Arabidopsis thaliana: one gene and its partners. The protein of the gene in region 3 interacts with the protein of the main gene of each other region in a pairwise test. Each region holds a gene or a part of one and is shown on either strand. Other genes may lie near its edges.

The links.
Region 1: the proteins of KNAT5 (region 3) and BEL1 interact in binary tests that used the Arabidopsis thaliana proteins (3 or more experiments, as listed by UniProt).
Region 2: the proteins of KNAT5 (region 3) and TERT interact in a two-hybrid assay, tested with the Arabidopsis thaliana proteins (one study listed by BioGRID).
Region 4: the proteins of KNAT5 (region 3) and BEL10 interact in binary tests that used the Arabidopsis thaliana proteins (3 or more experiments, as listed by UniProt).

What each region holds. Positions count from the first base shown.
Region 1 is NC_003076.8:16,578,006-16,584,579, reverse strand, and holds BEL1 (POX (plant homeobox) family protein), read right to left. Parts: upstream 4,645-6,574; 5' UTR 4,157-4,644; coding exon 3,299-4,156; intron 2,697-3,298; coding exon 2,305-2,696; intron 1,480-2,304; coding exon 1,419-1,479; intron 1,335-1,418; coding exon 810-1,334; 3' UTR 503-809; downstream 1-502. UniProt on the Arabidopsis thaliana protein: Plays a major role in ovule patterning and in determination of integument identity via its interaction with MADS-box factors. Formation of complex with AG-SEP dimers negatively regulates the carpel identity process and favors the maintenance of ovule identity.
Region 2 is NC_003076.8:5,537,658-5,545,296, forward strand, and holds TERT (telomerase reverse transcriptase), read right to left. Parts: upstream 5,903-7,639; 5' UTR 5,788-5,902; coding exon 5,488-5,787; intron 5,333-5,487; coding exon 5,258-5,332; intron 5,177-5,257; coding exon 5,111-5,176; intron 5,030-5,110; coding exon 4,918-5,029; intron 4,739-4,917; coding exon 4,392-4,738; intron 4,096-4,391; coding exon 4,023-4,095; intron 3,901-4,022; coding exon 3,768-3,900; intron 3,583-3,767; coding exon 3,447-3,582; intron 3,184-3,446; coding exon 2,131-3,183; intron 1,959-2,130; coding exon 1,429-1,958; coding exon of another isoform or gene 1,413-1,428; intron 1,330-1,412; coding exon 1,057-1,329; intron 940-1,056; coding exon 666-939; 3' UTR 523-665; downstream 1-522. Other genes in the region: BPA1 (binding partner of acd11 1), read left to right, coding at 1-369; AT5G16860 (Tetratricopeptide repeat (TPR)-like superfamily protein), read left to right, coding at 6,177-7,639. UniProt on the Arabidopsis thaliana protein: Telomerase is a ribonucleoprotein enzyme essential for the replication of chromosome termini in most eukaryotes. It elongates telomeres.
Region 3 is NC_003075.7:15,492,406-15,496,899, reverse strand, and holds KNAT5 (homeobox protein knotted-1-like 5), read right to left. Parts: upstream 2,912-4,494; 5' UTR 2,774-2,911; coding exon 2,231-2,773; intron 1,847-2,230; coding exon 1,726-1,846; intron 1,634-1,725; coding exon 1,434-1,633; intron 1,345-1,433; coding exon 1,213-1,344; intron 1,132-1,212; coding exon 992-1,131; coding exon of another isoform or gene 988-991; exon of another isoform or gene 907-987; coding exon 891-906; 3' UTR 519-890; downstream 1-518. Other genes in the region: AT4G32050 (neurochondrin family protein), read right to left, coding at 85-280; AT4G32030 (uncharacterized protein), read right to left, coding at 3,893-4,081, 4,185-4,253, 4,333-4,395, 4,491-4,494.
Region 4 is NC_003070.9:6,809,240-6,815,027, forward strand, and holds BEL10 (BEL1-like homeodomain 10), read right to left. Parts: upstream 3,825-5,788; 5' UTR 3,604-3,824; intron 3,519-3,603; exon of another isoform or gene 2,965-3,518; intron 2,756-2,964; exon of another isoform or gene 2,689-2,755; 5' UTR 2,616-2,688; coding exon 1,872-2,615; intron 1,784-1,871; coding exon 1,398-1,783; intron 1,293-1,397; coding exon 1,232-1,292; intron 1,145-1,231; coding exon 719-1,144; 3' UTR 526-718; downstream 1-525. Other genes in the region: AT1G19690 (NAD(P)-binding Rossmann-fold superfamily protein), read right to left, coding at 1-11, 97-323; AT1G19710 (UDP-Glycosyltransferase superfamily protein), read left to right, coding at 5,681-5,788.

The DNA of each region.
Region 1 (6,574 bases), on a different chromosome or scaffold from region 3:
TTATATGTATACGGGAGTGTACACGTGAACGTTATCGATCGACCGAGATGGTCCAATAGTCAGTTTGTTCTTTCTTTATTATGTTTGTCGTCAACTTTATTTTATTAGGTTTTGTCATTAATAACACAAAGACCATACACTCTCTCTAATTATGTCTTTATATAAATATGATGGTCTAGTGATTTTCGTTACTGAAGTCGTATCTATTCGATTCCAAATCCGTATAATGCATGCCAACTACACAAATTTCACTCGTCCATGTTTGTGTGATATCTATTTATGTGTATATTATACACAGTTACACACATTCAATTTTATAATTTGTATCAAGTATATACGTAAACGATTGTCATGTACAGACACTCAACATACTTTAAAAAAAACTATATATCCATTTACTTTTCGAAATTTTGAAACCAAATTTATAAGAAAAACAAAATTTTAAGGGATTGAATGTTTCCAAATAGTTTGAGATGGTCCTAGAATATGAAAACAGATTTGAAAAGACACTTGATAATATTTCCTTAAACAAAAATATATATGATTTACATTAAGAAAAAAGTATTAGATTGAGAAAAAAACCTCTCAATAATATATTTTAAAAAACAAAATGAAAATATCCTACAAGTGATATTGACGAACCAACTAACTCATACATTAATAATATCTCCTTGTCCACCAATCCTCCAATCCAATCAGACAACGGTATATATAAATATCTAATTTGGTTTTTATCTAACTAAACCGTTACATAACCGAATCGGTTTTGGAAAATATGTATCGATAACTTTGGTCCTAATCTTTTAATCTCAAACAATATCATGAAGTAATTGAGCTCCCATCAAATTCCTATAAGGCAAATTCTGAACTTGATCATCATCTAACATCGACGCTGAATATTGAACCGGTCCTTCTTCAATGTGGTCTCTACCGTAGAAAAGTTGGCCACCTTGAGCCGTCACTGGAGACAACGCTAAACTCACACCACCGTTACCATCGTTACGTTGTAACCCAAGCGTCAAGGAAACGTCACCACGTGGCCCTCCTTCACCAGCGTATGTCACAGCTTGGTTACCGTACAAGGAAAAGTCAAACGTTGACCCTAACGACATCGTTCCATGGGTTGAGTTGTGACCGGATTTGGATGTAGGGTTTGTCACTATTGAGGATAAAGATTCCGGTTCGACACGGATCAACTGGTCCGGGTCCGGTTTAGTATCGATCATCATCGGGTTTGTAATCTCCATTTGTTCACTTCTTGTTTCTTCACAGTACATTTCTTCAATCATTGGTTTCCATAGCCTAACTCTTGCATTAATAAACCAATTTGATACCTAACAATTTTGGTTTATTATAACTTTAGTAAATAGGATAATAAATTTTGGAATATATCAAGAATTAGTGGAGTTATTCTTTACCTGACTTCTTGATAAACCAGTTTGTCGGGCCAATATATGCTTATCAACATCGCTCGGATATCTGAAAACAAAAATAAGAAAATTTTACTTTAATGGAAAAATATAAGACAAATGGATATGTAATTAAAAAAAAGGATATAAATGATTGAAGAATGATGCAAATAAAATGGAAGCAAAGGTAAAGGGTTTGGTGAAAACTAACAAGATGTTTCATTGTTTGAGCAGTGTTTGGGAATTGATGGAGACAAGTGTTACATATGATGATAAACATATAACTTCTGTAAATTAAATAAATAAAAAGTAGAAGAAAAAGAACAAAATAAAAACATGGAGAAAAAAGCAAGGAGTTATGTATAGTTTCTCTCTTTTGTTAGTGTTAGGTAAAGAACATTGATTCTCTCTCTCAATCCACTTTGTACCTTTCTCTATTTCTGTCTTTCATCCACCAGTTAAATTTATTTTATTTAATTTTATATGTTCGTATACATATATATACATGTGTATATGTATATGTTTGTACACTCACTTTCACACCAATAGTGCAAATGAAAGAAAAAGGAAAATAAAAAAGCTATATGCAATTAACAGATTAAGGTAGATTGTATCCTATGCTTGTCAAGTCAATCTCAATCTCTCTATATAAAATGTACATATTTTTTTACTTTTATATGTTCAAAAATATTCATGTAACAAACAAAAAAAACCTATCATACTATTTATCAACGTACTATCAATGAAATAAAATCGTTAAAGAGGTTTTATATAGCTCCATAAATATACCCAATTAACTTGTGATTCTACCTTCATTGATCACTTCAGAAAGACACAATTAGTAACTTTTAGGTATGTGTAAATATATTAAGAGGATGTATATGAAATAACTTACGGGTGAAGAAAGTGTTCAAAGAGCCAAGCTCTCAACGTTGTGACTGCGCGTTCAGGCAAGCCGCGTTGTGGACGCCAAGGATGAGCGTCAACAAGAGTCATTTGGCGATACGATTTCTGTTGCCGCAAAGCTTGATCGAGCAATCTCAACCGTGGAGTTTCTCCACGTGCTGCAATAGAAACCGCACGATTATCCTCTTCTCTCTCTCCCAAAGCTTGACTTGTTGCTTGAATCTGTCCCACAAGTCCGTCTTTTAAACACCGAAAGTGTCTTGACATTGCCCTTGACGCTAACGCAGTGTATATCTCTGCCCCTCCTAGTCCAACCGCCGCTTCAAAGGCTGCCGCCGCAACTCTCATTTGCTCTCGGTAATGTCCATATCTTCTTTTAAGCTGCCAAAAAACCGCAAAAAAACGTTACCCCACACCATTCACAAAGATTTCAATCACAATCGTGTAAATGTAGATTCTTAGAATGAGTAAATACACGAAAAAGAAACAACTCGTTATGGCTTATGATGATGAAACTGATTGCTATAAATATGGAGGACCACTAGAGTCTCCAAATTAGCTCAAAGCAAAGAAAACAAAATTATATTTTGGTTCTATAGAAAAAAAGAAATAATGAGTAAAGGAATTAAAAGGGTTGATCTTTTCGTAGTTGATACGATCGAACTTGTTTTCGACGAGAATACATGAAAGAATGAAGACAAAAAAGAATCTTTTTATCTTAATATCTAAAAGAAATTTGTAACTTTAAGAAATATATGGACCTAATCAAGAATCGAAAAAATACAAGATTTATGGGTATCTTACATATTTAGGAATAAGTTGAAACCAAATGAAAGGAAAAAAAAAAAGATTTGTAAAAGACTTGTGGGTATTTTACATTTTTAGGAATAAGTTGAAACCAAATAAAAAAGGATTAGATTTTCTAAGAAACTCATGTAAGTTTTGATAGTAGTAATGAAATAATTTCTTGAAAATATATATACCTCTTCGAGCATGGAGAGCAACTTGGCTTTTCTTTTCTGAAGTTCCATGAACTCAAGAGAGTGAAGTGGTGGAACATGTTTCTTTGAAGAAGTAGTCGCAGATTGGTCATGTTGATCATTGTTGCTGTGGTGACTTGTGTCCCACTCTTCTTGTTGTTTACCCTTTTGCTTCTTCTTATGCTTCATCATCATCACTTCTTCATCGCTTTCCTTTACTCCAAGACTGCAAAACTCACTCAGTAGCTCTTGAGCTGGACTCAAATACTTGGAACTCCCAATCTGAAACTGATGATGATTATGATGCTGATGATTGTTATTGTTGTTGTTTTGGTGGTGACTATTCATCATCATCATCATCATCTGCGTGTGTTGGAGATTCTGATGTTGTGTTGATTTATTACCGGAATACCCTTGTTGTTGTTGTTGTTGGGGTCTGAGTTCGAAAGATTGGAGACTGATGCTTGTAGGATTTGAAGAGGAGAGAGAAAGGGAAAGACCTTGGCTTGGTCTTTGTGGTGGTCTCTCATCATTTACTTCACTTGGGAAATCATTATTAACATTGCATAGTCTCATGGCAGATGAAGAATCTTCCAGAAGCTGATTCTGATCAGTACCACCACTTGTCTGATGATGATGATGATGATGATCCGAACCACTTGTCATCCTAATCTGTTGTTGCTTAGAGAAGTCTATCATCATACCCATGTTGGAGTTTGAGCCAAAGATCTGATGATTGTAATGATGATGATCGGTTGGGTTTTGGTTTGTCTCATCAAACCCTTGGATCTGATTAATCATTTGATGTTGTTGCTCTTGATGATGATGGTTATTGTGACCATAGAACTGATCTCTTGCCATGTCTCTCAAGAATTGAAAACCCAAAAAGAAGAGAAGAAAAAAGAAAACTCTTTTTGGGACAAAAACAGAAGTTTCATTAAGATCTACAAGAACCCATCTCCAAGAAAAAGTTAAAAAGAACCAATAAACAAAATAGAAAGGCAAATCTTCTCATACCATGAAAATTACAAAACTTTGTATCAGAACCAAGACAATAGAGATAGCTCCTAAAACCCTACAAGAAAGTAGTTTGCATAAAGATGTGAATTATTTTTCTTCTTATTCTTTAGGTGAAGAGGGAGAGAGAAGAGATTATAGGAGAAGATAGACGAAGAAGAATAAAAGAATTAAACAGAAGAGATATAACAGAGAGAGAGAGAAGAAAAGAGATTGTGTGGCTTCACCTCTCTCTTTGTTTTGTACTTTGACAAAATTTAATTTTTCTTTTAGTATGGGTCTGTAAATTGTACTACAGGCAAAAATAAAGAATTATAAAATGGTAAAATAAAATTAAACCTAGGAAGAGAAAAAATCAGATTGGTATCTCTTCAGAGATCAGAAGACAGGTGATCATGACCCTGCCATAGACTCTATAGCTAGCCATCAATGTTTTAATCTCTCTCTCTATATATATCTATATATATATATATATCACAAGTGGGTCAAAATGCTTTACAATTTTCAAAAGAAATATTAATATTCTTTTTATTTTATTTTTTCCCGCATATAAAATGCCTCACAATTATACATTTAATTTGTGTATTTTGGTATACGTAAGTCATAATGAAATAATGGTTTATATTTTTCTTCTTCTTTGACGTTGAATTATAAATTATTGGTCTGACCAAGAAAATACTACAGGTGTCTACCTCTATTCTTTATTTTCTTCGTTCAATTATTAAGAACCTGCTAATTCGAAAATTTAGTTTACAAAAAAAATCAAAAAGGATGGTACGTACGTACATTGGTCCAAACAGTTTAGAAAAAAAATTGATTGGATAGATAACAAATAATTAAACTGAACTAAAGAAAACAAAAATTAGAGATCCTTTGCCCGGTACACAAACTAATTATACAAGCCATCTTCATATGACATATCTCTACGTTGATTTAATTATTTATTAAACATAATTTAGTATTTAAATGTTCATATATATATATATATATGTATATATGTATTTAGTATTTTGATTTTTATTGCTGAATCCATACGTGTAATCTACGTGTATATGTATTTAGTATGTATGTAGATATGTATACAATATGTTATCTAAGAAAATGATATCAATTTTGGTGTTAGTGTCGTTTGCTAAGCTTATGTAGGCAAATTTTGTTATTAAATGAATATTTTTGGAACTACTTTTTTTTTTGGTGAAAATATTTTTTGGAACTACTTTTTAAACATTTTTATGAAGCATAGCGTATCTCAAGCAATATTTGAACATTGACGATGATTTTTAATTGAAAATAATAATATTCTAAATTTAGCCAACCAGTCACGTGAATGTACAAATTTAACTAGTATTTTGTACAAAAGGTGTCCCTTTCTATACATAAATAATCGTTATATATAATACATGTATGCCTCTGCGGCTCTGCCTATTTTGCTCCTAAAATATATTTTCTTTGTTAAAGAATTATTATCAGGTCTAATTTATAACAGAATTATTTGATGATAAATGAATTTTCAAACAAAGAAGAGAAGTTAAGTTAACTTAAAAAATGAATAACTGTGAAAAAGTTTTGCTCCTAAAATAGTTTTTTTTTTTTTTGGAGAATTAACATACCAATATATATATATATATGTTGGTGTATAGATGGAGAGGTAAGTAAATGAAAGAGAACGAATCCCAAGAAATCAAACCAGAAGTAGGAGTTGAGTTCAGGCTTTTCTCAGATATGTCTCAGTGTCACTTCTCTACTGTTTAACAATTACTATTAAATTACTATCAACCATATCATAACTATATAAACATTTTAATTAATAGTAATTATATATAGTAGAATAGAGATCGTAGTCCCGTGTAATACAACACAAATGGACTGATGTCATTATTCGACTTGCACTTCGCACAGTACGTGAAAGAGATTGTGTTTTGAGTTTTAAAATACGTTGTTGGTCGGTCACTAAACTAATCGAGAAAGTACCAAAACAAAAGTCTCCTTGTTAGTAACTGCAAGGGCGAAGAAGTTAATTATATCAAGATTTAATGGTTTTCTATTAAATTCCATTTAATATGTACGCAAAAGAAGGAAAACAAAAAATCAAAGTTTTCTTAAACATTGCTGACATACAAAATCAAATATTCAAATTTTAAATAAATGTTTCTTAAATGTTGACATAGAAAACTAATATAGTCGTTCTTCTGCTTGGCACATGTATTATTAATTGTTGTAAAAATAGTGTTTATTACAAAATTTGCAAATTTCTTTCTTTAG
Region 2 (7,639 bases), on a different chromosome or scaffold from region 3:
GGAGTTGCTTCACTAGACCAAAAAATCGGTCTTAGCCAGAAACTTACAGCTGGAACAAGCTTGGTGAACGAAAAAATCAAGGCGGTGGACCAAAACTTTCAGGTAACAGAGAGGACCAAGTCTGTGTATGCAGCTGCGGAGCAGACTGTGAGCAGTGCAGGAAGCGCTGTGATGAAGAACCGTTACGTGTTAACTGGTGTGAGCTGGGCCGCAGGAGCATTCAATAGAGTGGCTCAAGCAGCTGGAGAGGTTGGACAGAAAACAAAAGAGAAGGTTGAAGCTGAGCAACCATCGCAACCAGCACAGTCGCAGCAGCAACTGCCAGAAGGGTATTCTCCGATTCATTCGTCCGAATACTCGAAGAACTAATATCATCAAGTTAAACAGTTTCCTTTGTTTCTCCTTGTTGGTTTCTTTGACATGGAAGTTGGAAATCTGGTTTGGTCTTTGGGATGTACCATATAAGCTATGCCTGGATTTTCCCTACCACTATTAGACTATAGTTTGGGTTTTTTCCAATATACATATTTAATAAGTTGACATTTAAATCTTTCTTTACCCTAAATGTTACAAATCCATTTTGTTCCTAGATTATCAAAATGACTGAAATAGAAATTTAAAGGATCTACCTAAGTTTCGATGATAAAATCTAGTTAAGATCAGTTTCAATAATTCAACTTCCACAGCGAAGAAGAGTTTGACCGGTCTGTTGCATACCTCAATTCCGACGATAGCTGCTGAGAAAGAGAGTGTTTAGAAAGTGCAGATTTTAAATAGATCAAGAGCATTCGATATCTCGAGTTTTTCTTCTTCAGAACTTGAATATAAGCGTCTAAGCCAAGCCATATCACTTCTTCTTTGTATAGTTTAAGAACTGGTCTGAAACTAGAACCAGTGTTGATTCTGCGCACCCTTCTATTTATGAGTCTGAACATGTACCTATCAGTTGGAAAGAAATCAAGAACCGAATAAGCAAAAAAAGACCGAATAACTCAAATCAGAATGATCCAAAAACCGAAATGCTCACAGACATATGATGTAGTTTTGATTCCATACCTGACAGATATTGTGATGAATTTGAACAAAGTTTGAGGATGAAGCTTCCAAAACCGGGACACCTCGTAGACATAACAGTGAAACTTCATTGCAGCCAACAGAAAGATCTGATAGATGTTTAACCTGACGATTTCTCCCGAGTTGATGTTCGAGTCAAATAGAATTGGATGACATTTCGGAACCAAGAAGTAACACAATTTTTGCCGAAGATTTCTAACTGGTTTGTTCTGCCAAGCTACAGAAAAAGTTGAGCTTATATGGCCACTCAAGTACCTGTTTCCATGAATTTGAGGCAAAATTATAAATAAAAGCTGAGGAAACAGAGCCAAACAAGTATACTTATGAAGGAAACATACAGGAGATGAGGCAGACCTTGTGTAGTCAACTTGAACTTCAAATGTGCGGGAATTAATAAGCAAACCCGTCCATCTGACAAAAGGAACTCCATTATCTCCCACAAACATTCTATTAGAAGAACACCTATGTTCTTCTTTATCTTCAAAATTTATGCAGAATTTTGTTTCGTTCATGAAGCAGTTGTAATCTTTAAATCCATGCTTCAACCTGTGATAGAAGCTACTCGCCTGATCTCTTGAGGTAGACACAAAAAGGTAGTCATCAATAAATCTCAGTAACTTATAGCTCGTGGGAATTATAAGCTCTTCCTCTCTACTGCATTCTTTAGAAGACACATCTTTAGAGGCTTCTTCGAGGAATGGGTAGATCAAAGTCCTCTCGAGATGCCCGTAGTAAAAACAACATAACAAGGATGATAATCTGTGTCCCTGAGGTATTCCAGCTATTTGTACATAGAAGCTTTTATCCAACTGCAGCATGTTGTTCTTTAGCATATTTCCTATCCAAACCATTAGATCCTTTTTCCTCACTCGATGGTTTTCTCCCTAGAAGGTTGGACCAAAACCATAACACCGTTAAGCAAATAAGTAAAGAACAACAGGGACGCTACAAGCACTAAGAAAAGAGATCTCTAGAGATTTTTTTAAGTAGTCCAATAGTTTTGTATTTTACCCTCTGCAAAAAGATCAAAAAGCTCTAGGTCAAAAAGAAGCATACCTTATCAACCACGATACTTTGCAGTGCATTATATGGAACAGTTGATGTGAATCTTGAAAAGTTAGAATTTTTGTCACTCGAGACTAGTATTTTGTTTACCCAATTGGATCTCTTCCCACAGCAGACCAGCCTACATCTGTTTAAGATGTATTCATCTTTCAGAAAACTTTGAATGACATGAAGCAGCTTACCCTGGTCGACTGAATCAAATGCTTTGAATACATCCGCAACCACAAAGTACAAAGGAGGAAGTTCTCCAGATTGACTTCTTAAATGGATCAGATATGGGCATAGGTTTCTGTAGAAATCATCATGGTCAAAGACAGAAGACCCAAGAACATCTGGTTCTTTGAGCTGGATGTCCTTCAAAACAGCATGTGTATCACGAAGAGATTGCGACCTTGACGAAGAACTAAAGTCTAACACCATCCTCACACCATTGGCCTTTGGTAAAAATCTAAACTTTGATAGCTTCTTCCTGCTACTTTCAGCTTCAGCATCGTCTACTAGGACATATCCATCAAGGGCTTTGCTAATTTCTTTGCTTATTAATCTTTCCCAGCTCCTTTTCCGGTAATAATAAATATTTAGCCGTCCTCCTTGGCTTTCAGTGGCATAGAAGTTGAAGTGCACCAATTTCTTGACAATCTCTAAAAAAAGCCAAGAAATCCATTTCGTGCACAACATCTGCTGTGTACTTCTGATGGATTCACTTTGGAGTTCATGTCCGTTGACCATACAGCATAACTCTTTTCTAGCAAAGAATGGGAAATCTGATGGTTTCACTTTATGCAAAAACTGATTCACTGTGCATTTCTCATTTCGTCGCCTTGAAACAAACCACGCTATATTTTTCCTAAGCACCCTCATCTGATGAGTGGTCCCAAGCAAACTTTCTGGAACAATGTACCTACAGATGGCCCAAATAAAGGAAACTACTTGGTCGTTCGTGCAATACAGCTTCCTTTCTTCAACACTGGGACATTTGGGTTTTCCCGTTTGTGATGAACTTGATCCATGAGGCAGCTTATCTGCTTTTTGCCTCCTTGAACTCTGTAATACAAGATATGCAAGGTTCGTCACTTCAAGGAAGCACTTGGAAGTGCCACGGATATGAATTCTTATGCAGGTTTGCACTATATATCCAAAGTCTATAAAGTAGCAACTGTGTTGATTTTCCATTTCTAGTTTCTTTTTGTTGTACATATTCGAATATTCAACATAACTTCTCTGAAATAGAAATACTCAAAAGACATCAAACGAAAAACGCTAGGGAAATTAAATATGAAAACCATCTCTAAAAGAAAAATATCAACCTGAGAAGTCGTTCCGGACTTCAATGCATCCTCTTGCAGCAAGAGAACAGGACAGTGTTTGTCTAGTAGCATTTTTAAATGTGAAGACTTTGTTTTTCCTATTAGATTTTTAAGAGACTTGAGCAATGAATGGTATCTGCAAATCAATGTAAAAGACATCATGATATCATTTTCTTCTTTGCATCAGTTACCTCAACAAAACTTTTAAACAAATTCCTTTTATAACTCAGACTACTTAGATATGTGCTCTACATTATCTGAATACATGCTCCAAGTCTCAGAGTAAGCCGAAGAACTTACAAGAATAAATGGATGACTTACAAGCAAATAGATCCACTGGGGCAATTGCCTTTGCCATGAGATGGCGTCGTTGACCAAACATTTACTTCACCAAATATATGGTTCATTAGGAGCTTTGAATCAGAGCAGTTGGGCCTCAAGGTTTTTAAAATGTCTGTATATCATAAGGAATCATTCACAATGCAGAAGAACTGTATAGAGAAGAGTAACGTTTAAACTTCCATCAAGCTATCGTTGCTACAAGTCATTGAACATGTCAAAACCACTGAAGGATACGGTTTGGTGGTATAACTGAATACGTTTCTGAGAGGCCAAACTTGAAATTCTTGTTTCTTTTAACCTGTTTAGCCTACAAAAAACAGTGATTAAATCTTACAAATACAAGAACAGATTGTCGAATTTGAAGGTAATGAAGTGTCAGGAAGAATATTAATAACCACCAGAATACAACAAGATAAATGATACAGTTTTTAAAATACACCAAAGTACAACTACAAAAATAGTCCCATCAATTTCTCAAGGCTGAGGATAAATCAAGAGCAATTTATACACGTCTCTTAGTAATTTTAAGCAATAACTTTATGTTTAAACTTGTGCATTTTCAACTTAAACTTGATTGATCAATATCATTGTTACGAACATTACCTGCTTTACAAAATCAGTGAGACTTCCATTTATACCAATGTGCAGATTCATTTCGTCATTACCAGTTGAGACTTTACCATTTGTACTGGGAGTTATACAAGGAGCATTACAGTCAACTTTTTTGAAATTGACCTTTCTCTGCTTTCGCCGACGCTTAAGATATATTCTTGAACGCTTAGTAGTTTTTTTCTCTCTATGTTGGTCTACATCCTCGCCAACTATGGGCGTAATAGTTGCAGAGTCATCCTTAGGACAGTCATCGACAGCTGAAGAAAGCCACTGCCTTTTCGTTGGTGGCTGAACGTTGTCATCCCTCTTTCTTTTGTTTTCATGGACTGACAATGTCCCTATACCATGGAGAAGGAAAACTTTACTAAGTTAATATGAACTAAAAACCAGAAGTTGATAATCGATAACCAAGCAGTCACAGACAAATCATAAGTATTCAGAGAACCAACAAGAAAGTGGAAGTTTCAAAAGAAAGCCAACAGAAGAGCTCGGATACAAGTTTAATTCTGAGACTCACGCTTATGCTTGATACATAGAGGAGGTCCAGACACTTGCTGGTGTTTTTTCCCTAGTAATGGTAAGAATATTGATGTTTGCTGTAGAAGATAAACCATGACGTCATGACCGACCTATAAACAAGGGAACTTGAATATTAGTGACCGCAAACTCGAATATTGAAAGTAAATCATCAAAAGGGTTTGAGAACAAACCCGCTTGAGAAGAAACTCCCAAGATGAACTTGTCAATAGCTCCAAAATAGGGCTCGACTGATCATACTGTCAAAGGAGACGAGAAATCATTAGGCTAAGAAAATCAGCACTCTACATTGAGTTTGAGAAGGAAGAAGAAGAATTCACCTTATCATATCTGGCACATATCACATTTTGGCAATCACATCCAGATTGCATCATTTCAATAATCCTTTCAACAATCTGATAAACTCAATTGAAGCAAAATGTTTAGAAATCAGCAACATCATACAAAATAAGATAACATAGAGGCATTTTATAAGGAGTAGCCACGTCTTGAAATATCTCAAATTAAGCACTCAAAGCAATGTATAGTACAGTGGGAAGAAGAATCTTACCTCTCTCTGTGACCACCAAGATGTTGGAGAGAAATCCAGAAGCGGAGGGGTTTGTTCGTGAAGTACAACGAAGCAACGGTGAAGAAGTTTACGGTAGTGAATGGGATCATCGGAACGCAGCAGAAACGCCGGTTTATCGCTGCTGCAACCGAGACAACCTTGACCCCGGCATCGGCATTGCTCCGGCTGGATATTCCGGTTAGGAATCAGATCTACTATTGCGTCGTTTAAATTCCTGGCTCTGTTTCCGAATAACCTCCATAGAATCTCCGGTACACGATGTCTAGGTTTACGCGGCATTACACCTTCCTCCTCCTTTCTCTCGAATTTGGAGAGAGAGAAGAGTGAACGAGCTTCGATAATGGAGTCTGATGGTGTGAAAGAGGCGGGAGATTAAAGGTCTTCTGGGTTCTCGAAACTATAAACTGCGATTTTGAAAATTTCAAAACAATTCAAAGCTGAGCTACAAACGCTATCCAAAGCGTCCACTCAACCGCAAACGCAGGTCGCTTAGCACATAAACCGAACCGAAATTCGCTTTAAATTTTAATCGGTCTATTATACTTTCTTCTTCTTTTCACATCCGGTTTCATTACTTTCTTCAAATTTCCAATCTAAAACCGGGATATAACCGAATTGATTTGTTTAGTTTAAACGCAGAAATCACCCGCCACTCTAGTTACAGTAGTATGATCCGCCGCCTTCTCATCCCCAACGCCGCCGCAAAATCTCACCAGTACATTAAAGTCTCTCTCTTCTCGACATCGGCGCCGGAGATAACACCGCCGTTTATTCACAAATGCAAAACCATCTCTCAGGTCAAGCTTATTCACCAGAAACTCCTCTCTTTCGGAATCCTAACCTTGAATCTCACTTCCCACCTCATTTCCACCTATATCTCCGTCGGTTGCTTATCTCATGCCGTATCTCTCCTCCGTCGTTTTCCTCCATCTGACGCTGGTGTCTACCATTGGAATTCACTCATTCGCAGCTACGGCGACAATGGCTGCGCCAATAAATGTCTCTATTTGTTCGGCCTTATGCATTCTCTGTCATGGACGCCGGATAATTACACATTCCCCTTCGTCTTCAAGGCTTGCGGCGAGATATCCTCCGTTCGTTGTGGAGAATCTGCTCACGCGCTTTCTCTGGTAACTGGATTTATCTCCAATGTCTTTGTTGGGAATGCGCTTGTTGCTATGTATTCCCGTTGTCGTTCATTGAGTGATGCACGGAAGGTGTTCGACGAAATGTCTGTTTGGGATGTTGTATCGTGGAACTCTATAATAGAAAGTTATGCAAAGTTAGGCAAACCTAAGGTGGCGCTTGAAATGTTTAGCAGGATGACCAATGAATTCGGATGTAGACCTGATAATATTACCCTTGTGAATGTTCTTCCTCCTTGTGCTTCCCTAGGAACTCATTCACTAGGGAAGCAATTGCATTGTTTTGCAGTCACAAGTGAGATGATACAGAATATGTTTGTAGGGAATTGCTTGGTGGATATGTATGCAAAGTGTGGGATGATGGATGAGGCAAACACGGTGTTTTCGAACATGTCAGTGAAGGACGTAGTATCTTGGAATGCTATGGTTGCTGGGTATTCACAGATTGGAAGGTTTGAAGATGCTGTTAGGTTATTTGAGAAGATGCAGGAAGAGAAAATAAAAATGGATGTTGTTACTTGGAGTGCTGCTATTTCAGGGTATGCTCAACGGGGACTTGGATATGAAGCTTTGGGTGTGTGTAGGCAGATGTTGTCTTCTGGGATAAAACCAAATGAAGTCACGCTTATTTCGGTTCTTTCGGGTTGTGCTTCTGTTGGAGCATTGATGCATGGTAAAGAGATTCATTGTTATGCCATCAAATATCCCATAGACTTGCGTAAGAACGGTCATGGTGATGAGAATATGGTAATCAATCAACTGATTGACATGTACGCTAAGTGCAAAAAGGTTGATACTGCACGTGCTATGTTTGATTCACTTTCCCCCAAGGAAAGGGATGTTGTGACTTGGACTGTGATGATAGGTGGATACTCCCAGCACGGGGATGCAAATAAAGCTCTCGAACTTTTATCTGAGATGTTTGAGGAAGATTGCCAAACAAGACCAAATGCTTTTACCATATCATGTGCCCTCGTGGCATGTGC
Region 3 (4,494 bases):
TAAAAAATTCACACTTTGTAGAAACCCCAAAATTGATATTAGTATTTACTGAGACAAAGATCAATAATTCGGGGTTTTGATTACCAGTACGGAAAAGACGGTCGAGAAAGTGAGTACCAACGGCTTCGTAGACCTTGTTGAGAGAAACGATGTCATCGTTCTTACAGAATTTGGTGACGAGAAGTAGACCGGCGAGCCTCTGCTCGTCTCTCTCCCCTTTCAATAGCTTAAGGCAATCGTCAAGCGACGGAGATCGTTCCTCCTGTGGTGCTGCTGCCATAATCACCCAACTCAAAGAGTAACAAAAGTAGACCAAGTCGAGAGAAAGGTAAGCAAAAAAAACTAAAACAAAAGCCGTTCGTTGGAGAAGCTGAAGGAAGAAGAAACAAGTCATTAAGTCGGCATTCAGATTTTGGGCCAAATACCAATGGGCTTTGTTAATAATACAAGTGAAATCATTTAAAATTATCGATATATTAAAAATTGAACCATATAAAAACCGAGCCGAACGTAACCATGCATCAACCGGTGAGAGAAATCAGACGAACACAACAACATCGTAATACTACATTTCAAGCTAGTTTAATTATGATAAATATTGCTTGATACATTCATTACAAACGAACATATTGACACTTTACAAGAAAAAACCCACACTTGCTTAAGCGTTCGTTACAAGACGCAAACCAACGAAACAGATCACTTCCAAAAACTACTAAGTCGTTACAAACAACAATTTGGACTCCAGAATCCGGTTTCATAGGCTAACCGGTATCCACTATACAAATAACACACTCTGTACGAGCATAGAACCGGATTCGTTTCTTTCATATACGGTTCCCAAGAATTCACATGGCAAAGAACCATCCTCTAGTTAGCCGCTATGTCACCTACGACTTCCCGGTCCTGAGTTTGGTTACAAAAGAAGATCTTGACCGGGTTGGTTTAATGAAATTGCGCAATTTGAAAAAGAGAACGGATCTTGTTTTACCGTTTACGTTTGTTCTTGGTGAGAGTAGATGACGTGGAAGAGTTGCTGTTCCAGTTTCTTTTCCTCTGGTTGATGAACCAATTGTTGATCTGTTTCAACTGCAAACCGGTTTCTTGAACCAGTTTTGCCTTATCTTCCTCCTGCAATTCCAAAACCAAATCACGAATTAAAACCTTGCTTTTGACAATGTGGTAACAAAACTTCTCGGCCAAGGTGTTTACAGTTGGGTATGGCCATTTCGAGTGAGTTCGCCACCATTCTTTGAGTACAGAAGTCGTATCTCCTGGCAACTTTCCCGCCCTTCTCTTCCTCATTATCTCTTCTCTTATGTCCACAATCTTCTCTTTGAAACCCTACAGGGGAAAAAAGAAACCGAGCAACATGATTTAACAATGTGTTTTGTATAGTTTGATGTACCATTGCAGCTTGATCAAGCAATTACCTGTTTAAGCTCATGCTTCAGTTCTTTCTTCACACGTTCCATCAAAGATCTCTCTCTCTCGGTTGGAACAAGAGGACCAAACCCCATCAAGCAATCTGAACCGTCCAAACTTCCATCAAACATGTTCACCTCGCTCTCTACTTGATTATCATCTTCATCATCCGACATTGTCTTACCATTACTTTCACTTGGAGAAACTCCTACAAACCAGAACAAAGAAAAACCGATAAAACCAAGACACACATAAAGCAAGAAGACAATAACAAAAAAAAAAAATGATTTGGGACGTTACCAGTTAGGGATTGCAGTGATTGTTCAATCTCCCAACAAGCCGTAATGGCTTCCATTGCATGGACACAAACGTGGTGTTGGAGTTGTTCTTTAAATGAACATAACAAGACAACATAATGTGACTGCATCAACATAATAATCAAAGGTAAGATTCCAATCCATAAGACATACAAACAGAACGTTACAAAAAATAGATTATGCTTTCTTTCTCTTGGACATGCAAAGTCCTTTTCAGCAAGAATCAGACAAACTATTAGTCATCAAAGAAGAAGCTTTATGCAACAAATATAACTTATTTGAGTCAGACAAAGTTCATAATTCGAATTACAAGCTAACCAAAAAAGTAGAAGCAAAGATCATATCGATTGCAAGACTCGAGAAGCGGGAACAATGAGCCACACAAAAATGTGAATTTGCTATACTCAGATAATCAAAGAGAAATAAATGGCTGAATCGTTCACAGTTCAAAACATTAAAATTTTGCAAAATTAGAAAGTGAAACTTACCATGAAATGATCAAGTTCCTTGTTGTCAACAACCACACCAAGAGTGGAGTATTTCGCGGCGACGGTATGCAACTGACTGAGCTGAGCATCGATCCTCGGAATCTGGTCAACGGGAGTCGCAACCCTAAGGCAAGCCACGTGAGCCGCAAGAAGCTGCTCGTACATCGGATGTCTTAAAATCGCCGCCTTATAGCTAGCACTCCGCCAATCTTCACCTCCTACAACGCCGAGTATCGTTTCACCATCGGCGTTGACTCCGTCGATAACTTCAGAACGTACTTCTCCAGTATTTTGCATCTCCGAATGAAAGGAGAGCCAGCGTGGGTTTGTATCAGCAACGGAATTGTCTCCGTTGCGGTGCGGAGGAGCGAGATCGGAATCCGCAGTGGTAAGGGTGGTAGGGAGGTTGAGGAAACTGGCGGTGACAAGCGAAGGTGTTTCAGAGAAGTGACGCTGCGGCGGAGGTTGCTGTGATTGATCGGTGAAGTGTCGGAGAGGAAGGTCTTCTTGTGGAGGAAGGAGGTGGGAGCTGTTAAACGACATTGTTTTCCTGCGTTTTTGGGATCGGAGAAGAGAAGACTGTTTTCTCTTTCCCCTAGTTATTTATCTCTCTGAAGACCAATATTTTTTAATTAATCTTGAATTTTATATTTATATATATTTTTTTTTTTTTTGGACTCTACTTCAATCTCTTTGTTTTAATGTCAACATAAAGCCTGTAACCAAAATGAAGCATAAAATAACTCAACCTACAAGAGCCTGTAATTCTGTAATTCACAAGTTTTGTGAGCAATGATTTGCTTACAAAACTTCTGTTCTAGAGTGTAATTTTCTTCTTTAGGTCTTTATTCTCCAAATTATGATAAGTATATTTACCATTAAACTCATTGTAGATATTTTTAAAACCCAGATATTTTTTTCTTTTTTACATGAAGGAATGTCATTTTTTTTTAATCTCTATACACAAAAGACTTGGGATCCATGAAAAAGAAAATAAGCTCATAAACAAGTTGGCAATTTTTTCTCAAATTTATTGGGCATTTAAAAACGAATCTTTTTCCATGAACACGCCGACAACCCACCAATAGCATTACACCTCCCAAGTTTATATTATAAAAATTCAAATTAAATAGTAGAAAAATGAATGTCCAAAGAGATTGATAGATCTTCTTGTCTTGGATTAGTTGAGCGGAAACTAGGGTTTTAATATAATAATGTATGGAGAATAGTGAAGAAGAAAATGTTTGGAACATAAAAAGTCTATTAGTTGTCCTACTTTTTCCTCTTTACAATTTCCAACAAAAGCTTTTAAATCGGTACAAAGAGAAAGAAAGAAAAAAAAAAGTAGTTAATTTTGCATTAAAAATTGATAACACCATCTATTTAAAACAAATTTTTTCTTCTAACACATCAAATTAAAGAAAACAGAGAGGGAGGGAGGGAGGGAGTAAAAAGTAAAAACCTAATTTTCACCCTCTTCCTAAGAAAAAATCAAGAAGTAATTGAGCATTTTACCCCAAAAAAAGAAGGAAACGGAAAACCAGAATGTGACGGGAGAGTTTCATTACACCACTTATTACATTCACTTTTCTTAGTTGACATCTCTAGCTCCCTTCTTCCCTTCACTATAATTCGATCGCAAATCTTCATATAGGCCAGTTTTTAGCTAGTTCCGTACAATATCTCTTCCTCGGATGGCGCCATGTTGAGATCAGGGAGGACGAAGAAACTCCCCTGATTTTGCGAGTCACTGGTTTTGCAAGATTTTGATCCCTGTAGCCGCTCGAGTTGTGATTTACGAATCAAATCAACAGGTTTCTTGTTTGTGACACGGCCTGAGTTTAAGTCAAGCTGAAACAAGAAAACACAAGAGTCGATGAGACCAGCAAATAGAGAGAAGGGATCTGGAATATCTGATTACTGTAAAGATGGTTAGGGAGAATCTAAATGTTACCTTAATCCTCTTCAGCTTTTGGTTCCTAAGGTTTTGTTCATCGAATGTTGCTCGGAGACTTGCAATCTCCTGTGGAAAAATATTGGGTTTTTTTAAGAATACAATGAAAACCATGATAATAAAACAGAGAATAGCAACGAAAATCTACCTTTTCAAGGTCAAGTCTCTCCTTCAACTTCAAGTTCTCTTCATTTTTAAGCTCAAAAGATGACTGCCAAATATTAAAAGAATAAAAAACCATCAGCTCAATAAAATTTGAATTTTGGAGTGTGTACTTGAAATTCAAAAAGGAGACTTTATATTTACCTTC
Region 4 (5,788 bases), on a different chromosome or scaffold from region 3:
CTGAAACCACCCTAAACCTCCAAAATTGTTAACACCATCGGAGAAAGATGAAAATAGATAGATATAGAGATAAGGAGAGAAACTGAGATATCAGACCAGTCTGATTCTTTGAGCTGTTGCGCAAAAAAACCTCCGACGAATCCCATCCCGAGAATGAACATTTGGTTCGGCGATTCTGGATCTGGTGCACCGGATCGAGAATCGTCGGTTGCTGATAATGGCCGGAAAAAGTTGATTCTCCTACGATTTGAAAATTTAAGTGGTGTGGGAGTAAAACGGAAAGGAATCTCCGGTGACAAACTTGGTAACTGAAAAACCGCCATTGAAATCGGAGGACTGAGAGACTCCAAGGTCTGTTGTACTTTAACTGATTCACAGTACAAAGAAACTACGTGCCGTTTTGTTTTCAAAATCAAGGACTGCATTTCGTTTTTACAGTCCAGTGATATATACTATAAAGAATCGTGAAACATTTACCACAAAAGTCTCAAGTTCAGATTTTTTCACACTTGCAAGTATCCTTTATACCACCGTGAATATTATTATACACACATATCAATATTTGGCTTAAGAGTCTACTATACACAAAAGCAACCTACACATCTACTATATAATCCATAGAGAATGGGTGTATTATGCCTAATACTATAAAAATGCAAAAGCACATTTCTTGCGCTTCAAGAATCATCTCCTCTGTACCAAGAAGAACCAGATAATATCACACAACAAAGTCGTGTAAGTGATGGGAATTGGAGAATCTGCTTTCTTGCTGGTTGCTTCCGCTAATGTAACGGTAATCATCAACACCAAACCCGTGATAGTTCATCAGAGTGTCGTAATCCGATGAGCGGTTTATCTGTTGTTGCTGTGGGTCGTTATCATTGCCTAGAACACGATCTGGTTTGGTTTCTGATGAGAAGACAATGTTTGTTGTGTCTGCAGATGAATAAGCGAGGTTGCTGTTGTTGTTGTTCTCTTGCTGCTGCTGCTGCTGCGATGAGGAGTCTTCTTGGTTTGTGCTGTTGGGTTCTTGGGAAGATTTGGAGATTAGTAACTCAGATTCATCACCAAACTCTTCTTTATACATTTCTTCGATCATCGGTTTCCACAGACGAACTCTCGCGTTTATGAACCAATTAGCAACCTAATCATTTAGCAGAGAAACCAGAATTATTCAAGCAGAACACAAAGGGTGCAAATTTTAAGTGAAGACCAAAAGCTTGGTTTATACCTGGTTCTTTGACAATCCTGTCTGCTTTGCAAGCATGATTTTCTCAGATTCTTTCGGATATCTACAAATAAAAAAAACAGAAGAAAAACATAGAGTCTCTCTAAATGTTTTGTACTGGGAGATTGAAAGATTGTGACTTGTGACTTGTGAGAGAAGAAACACTTACGGATGAAGGAAATGTTCAAAGAGCCAAGCGCGAAGAACAGAGACAGAGTTTTCAGGAAGACCTCTTTGAGGTCTCCAAGCAGGTCGAACCATTCCAAGCTGTTGATGCAAAGCTCTTTGCTGTCTCAACCGTTGATCTAAATACCTCAACCTTGGTATCCTCTCTCCTTGTTGCTCATCCAACGACTCTCCTCCTTTCTCCCCAAGTTTTTCTCTAACAATCTGAATTTGTTCCTTTATTGCGTCGCGAAGAGCACGAAAATGGCGAGAGATTCTGTTGAGAGCAACTGATGTGTAAGGCTTAGCTGATCCAAGTCCTGCTACTATCTCAAATGATGAAGCTAATGCTTCCATTTGATGGTAATATTGGTTATATCTTTTATCTACCTGCAACCATTAACACATCCACAACAACCAAATCACCATCAATCCTGTTATAAACCAAAGGTAGTTTTATGAAATGTAAGTTAGTTACCTCATCAACCATTGTTAAAAGCTTGTTCTTCTTGTTCTGAAGCTCTTCACGTTCAATTGTAGATAACTCAATCGATTTCCCATTCGAATCACTCGATAACTCACCACCTCCTCCTTCTATCTCCTTAGAACCACTGTTAAAGTCATTAACTTTCATCTTCTTCTTCCCCATTTGGTTTAGTTCTTTCTTGACACTAACCACTTCATCAAGCAAATTCTGAGCAGGTTTAAGATACCGAGAACGCAGAACGCTGCTCATAAACCCTCCTGATGTCTCATTATACCGATAATTGTTGTAGAAGCCATTCCCACCATTACCAGCATAACCAGAGGAAGGATCAGATTGACCCAACAAGATCATTTCTTTGCTCTTCACACTCATCTCATCCACATGAAACGGTGACGTTTCCTTGACTGAAATTGAAGGATTCTGACTAGTAAACCCCAATTGGTATTGATGAAAGTGAAACGGAGCAACAGAGATCTGAGTACCAAGGCTCAAAGACAGTCCTTGACCATCGTGAAAGCTTAGATCGCTGCTTGAAACGGTACCGTTTCCTGTTACAACGTCTCCTGTGGTGGTTGGTGGGATAAAAACCATCTCGTTTCGAACAGTATCGCCGCCGGTGACGGTGAAAGAAGCGGCGGCGGATGAAGAAGAAGCTTGTTGGTTTTGTTGTTGATGGTTGAGAAAGATTGGTTCTTGCTGGTAACAACCGACATTACTTGTGTAATAAACTGCCATTGGTGTTTACACCTTTTAAAAGTTTTATTACAGTGAGTTCTTAGTTCGATGAGTTTGGTCGGGAAATGAGATCCTGCAAAAAAATAAGAGGAAGAAGAGTCGTGTAAGGTGTGGAATTTTAAAAATTTCTGATGGAATCTAAGAGAGGTTAAAACATCGTAATCATTTCACACCAAACCATTTTTTTTATATATCATACATAAACAGTTTCGAAAGCAACAAACAGAATCGGACCAAATTATTCGGAGGATTAAAGTCAAATTCTTGATAAAAAGCAAATGTTTTTCGTGAAGAACTGAAGAAACCCAGAAAAACCCAATACAGGAATTGTGTAATCGTAGAGGAATACCCGATCTATGGAGGTGAAATTGAGAGGAGAAAAAAACCCTAATTTGAGGTTGGAAAAAAAAATGCAGAGTAAAAAGAAATTGTGTAGCTCAACGTAGTGAGTCAAAAGCAGAGAAGATTCAATTATTACATAAAGAAGTAAAGTGTCTTGATGATTTCATCTCTTGTAGGAGAATTTCCAAAAAGCAAGGGAGAAAAAAAACACAGAAAGTATACAAAAAATAATAATCAAGAAACACAGTACAAGATTAATCATATCAAGAATCAAGAATCAAGAACTTGAATTTTTAAAAACTACCTGAGGGAGAGAATCAAAGTTAAAAGGAAGAAAAAAAACCTAGAGATTGTGTTTGTGAGTGTGGATGTGGCTGAATCAGGAAACACAAAAGCAGAAGAGTTTCGAACAGTTGAAGACAAAAAAAGATTTGAGACCCAATCCCGAGAGAGATAGAGAAAGAGGCGATTAATAATTGCAAAATTCTTAAATAAACAAATTTTTTTCAGTCCACAAGAACAATAAAACCAACCCAACTTATCATTGGGACATTAGACACCAACCCAATTTTTAAAAATATTATTATGCAATATCAACAATAAAATAAAATAATGATCACTACCGGAAAAATTTGACAACCGCTACCTGTAATTTTTAATTTTTTGCGGCAGAAGCTTCTGTTTCTGATGCTTAGAGTAAAGATAAATTAATATGATTTTTTTTGTGTGCCAACCATTCATAGAGAAACACGTGAGAGCTTACAAATCACCAATTTTCTTTTCTTGATTACGTGATAATATTTCTTATGACGACTTTAACATACAAAACTTAACAATTCCACACACACAAATAAATGGATTTTTATAGATGATTGTATTATACTTTAATGATGTTGTGTTGTCATTGACTTGAGACTCATACTACTTTTCCGTATAAGTTAACTAAATACAACCAAAAGAAAAAAGTTGAAGGAATGAGTGTTTATATATGAAAAGTTTAGTATTTGTATATTAAAAAAAAAAACCAAATCTAACTATTTAAACGAAATAATCTATAATGCGTACATTACCATGGTATCGTGGGAAACTTTTAACGACTTCCTGATTTGTGTACGTGAGGCTCCAAAATAGTGAAATTATTACCTGCCACAAATTATAGAGTCTAGATTTGGATTTCAAACTAAAATGTTTTTTTAAACTATTTGTTCTTATCACCTTGCTTTCATCATAAAGTTAAAGTTCGATACATTTTTAATAGAACTTCTTGAGCACTTTGTAGTTCAATATCTTTGAGGTTTTCTTTAAATGTTTGATATAACGGATATACTTTTAGTTATGCATGGTAGCGGAAATTAAACTCCATCAAATAAAACATAGAAACGTCATTATAGGTAGGAATATGAGATTACAAAACTGACCCTGATAAGCTGGTTTAAGGAAGAAGATAAAACAAAGGTGGGTGTGTGTCTGCTCAATTGCTTAATTGATGGATTAAATGACTTAACAACCAGTTGGTGAGTCCCTCCTTACTCTTCTGTTATACCCAATTTTTATTCTAAGTTCTCTTGTCTTTTTATTTCTTTTGTTATAAACCTTTTAGTTATACACTTACATGTTTGTATTTGCATATTCCACAATGAAGAATACGTAAAAGATTATCTTTATAGCTACACTAATAATATAATCCATTTCCTCTGATTTTTAAAATAACAAGTAGTTTCGTTTTGGTTTGTTGGAGATTGGATTTAGAGCAGCCGACACAAAATCATTTGGCAAGTACCATTGTGTTGGAAAATTATTATTCATGTGTTTTGAGTCTTTGAGAGATGATGATATTGACTTTTGTTTCCACGTGGATCTTGATTTATAATGATGATTAAAAATAAATTAATTAGGCAGTTAGCTGGTGAGAGATTGATTAAATCTACTAAAAATTTAGATTATTAATGATGTAATTATTTTTAAAACCGTATGGTTCTGTAAATCATATTTTAAAGTTGAGGATGAATCGATGATGCTAAACGAGGAAAATGTGTGTGAGTAAGAAATGAACAACCTTTGGTTTGGAGGAAAATGTTGAAGTATAATAATTCTTGCCAATTGTCAAATATATTAATTACATGGATATATCCGAAAAAAAACTTTATAATAAATAGCCACAAGTTATGGCCGTGTAACAAAAAGTAAAAGAATTTATTGCCACATACATTGTTGGACCATATATGAAGACGGATCATCACCACTAAAATTCATGTTTGTAACATTTATATTCTATGGATCGAAATCATTATGCTCTCCATTATTAGAACCAAACAAAACCAAACCAAAATTGTATCAGCAAAACTAATCTGAAGCCTAGCTTAGCTTAAGAAAAAAAAAGAATTAAAACCATATAGTATGCATTAACTATCATCATAACTAGTTTAGTTTTAGGCTTTTAGCAAATAGGCCTTTTAAAGCCCATTATAAATATGAAGAGAGGATTCCATCGGGGGCCTGCTGAGAAACGGCAATCAACTTCCTTCTAAATAACAAAAACGGCGTGAATTGCAAACTTCTGCAAAGAGTCAACACTGATTAGCGGCTTTTCCCCATTAAATCTCTCCTCTAAACTTCTTCGTTCCAAGCTTTCTCCATCACTGACGACAGATCCTTAGAAAGTTCTGAGATCGATTGTTACTGTGTAAACCCTAGGATGTGATTCTAAGCTGTAGAGAGAAACAATGGCGAAGCCATCAACGAGTATGTGGGCAACATTGCAGAAGAAGAGATGGCCACTGATGATTCTATTGGTTTTATCTGTATCAACAGTAGGAATGATTCTCGTGAGA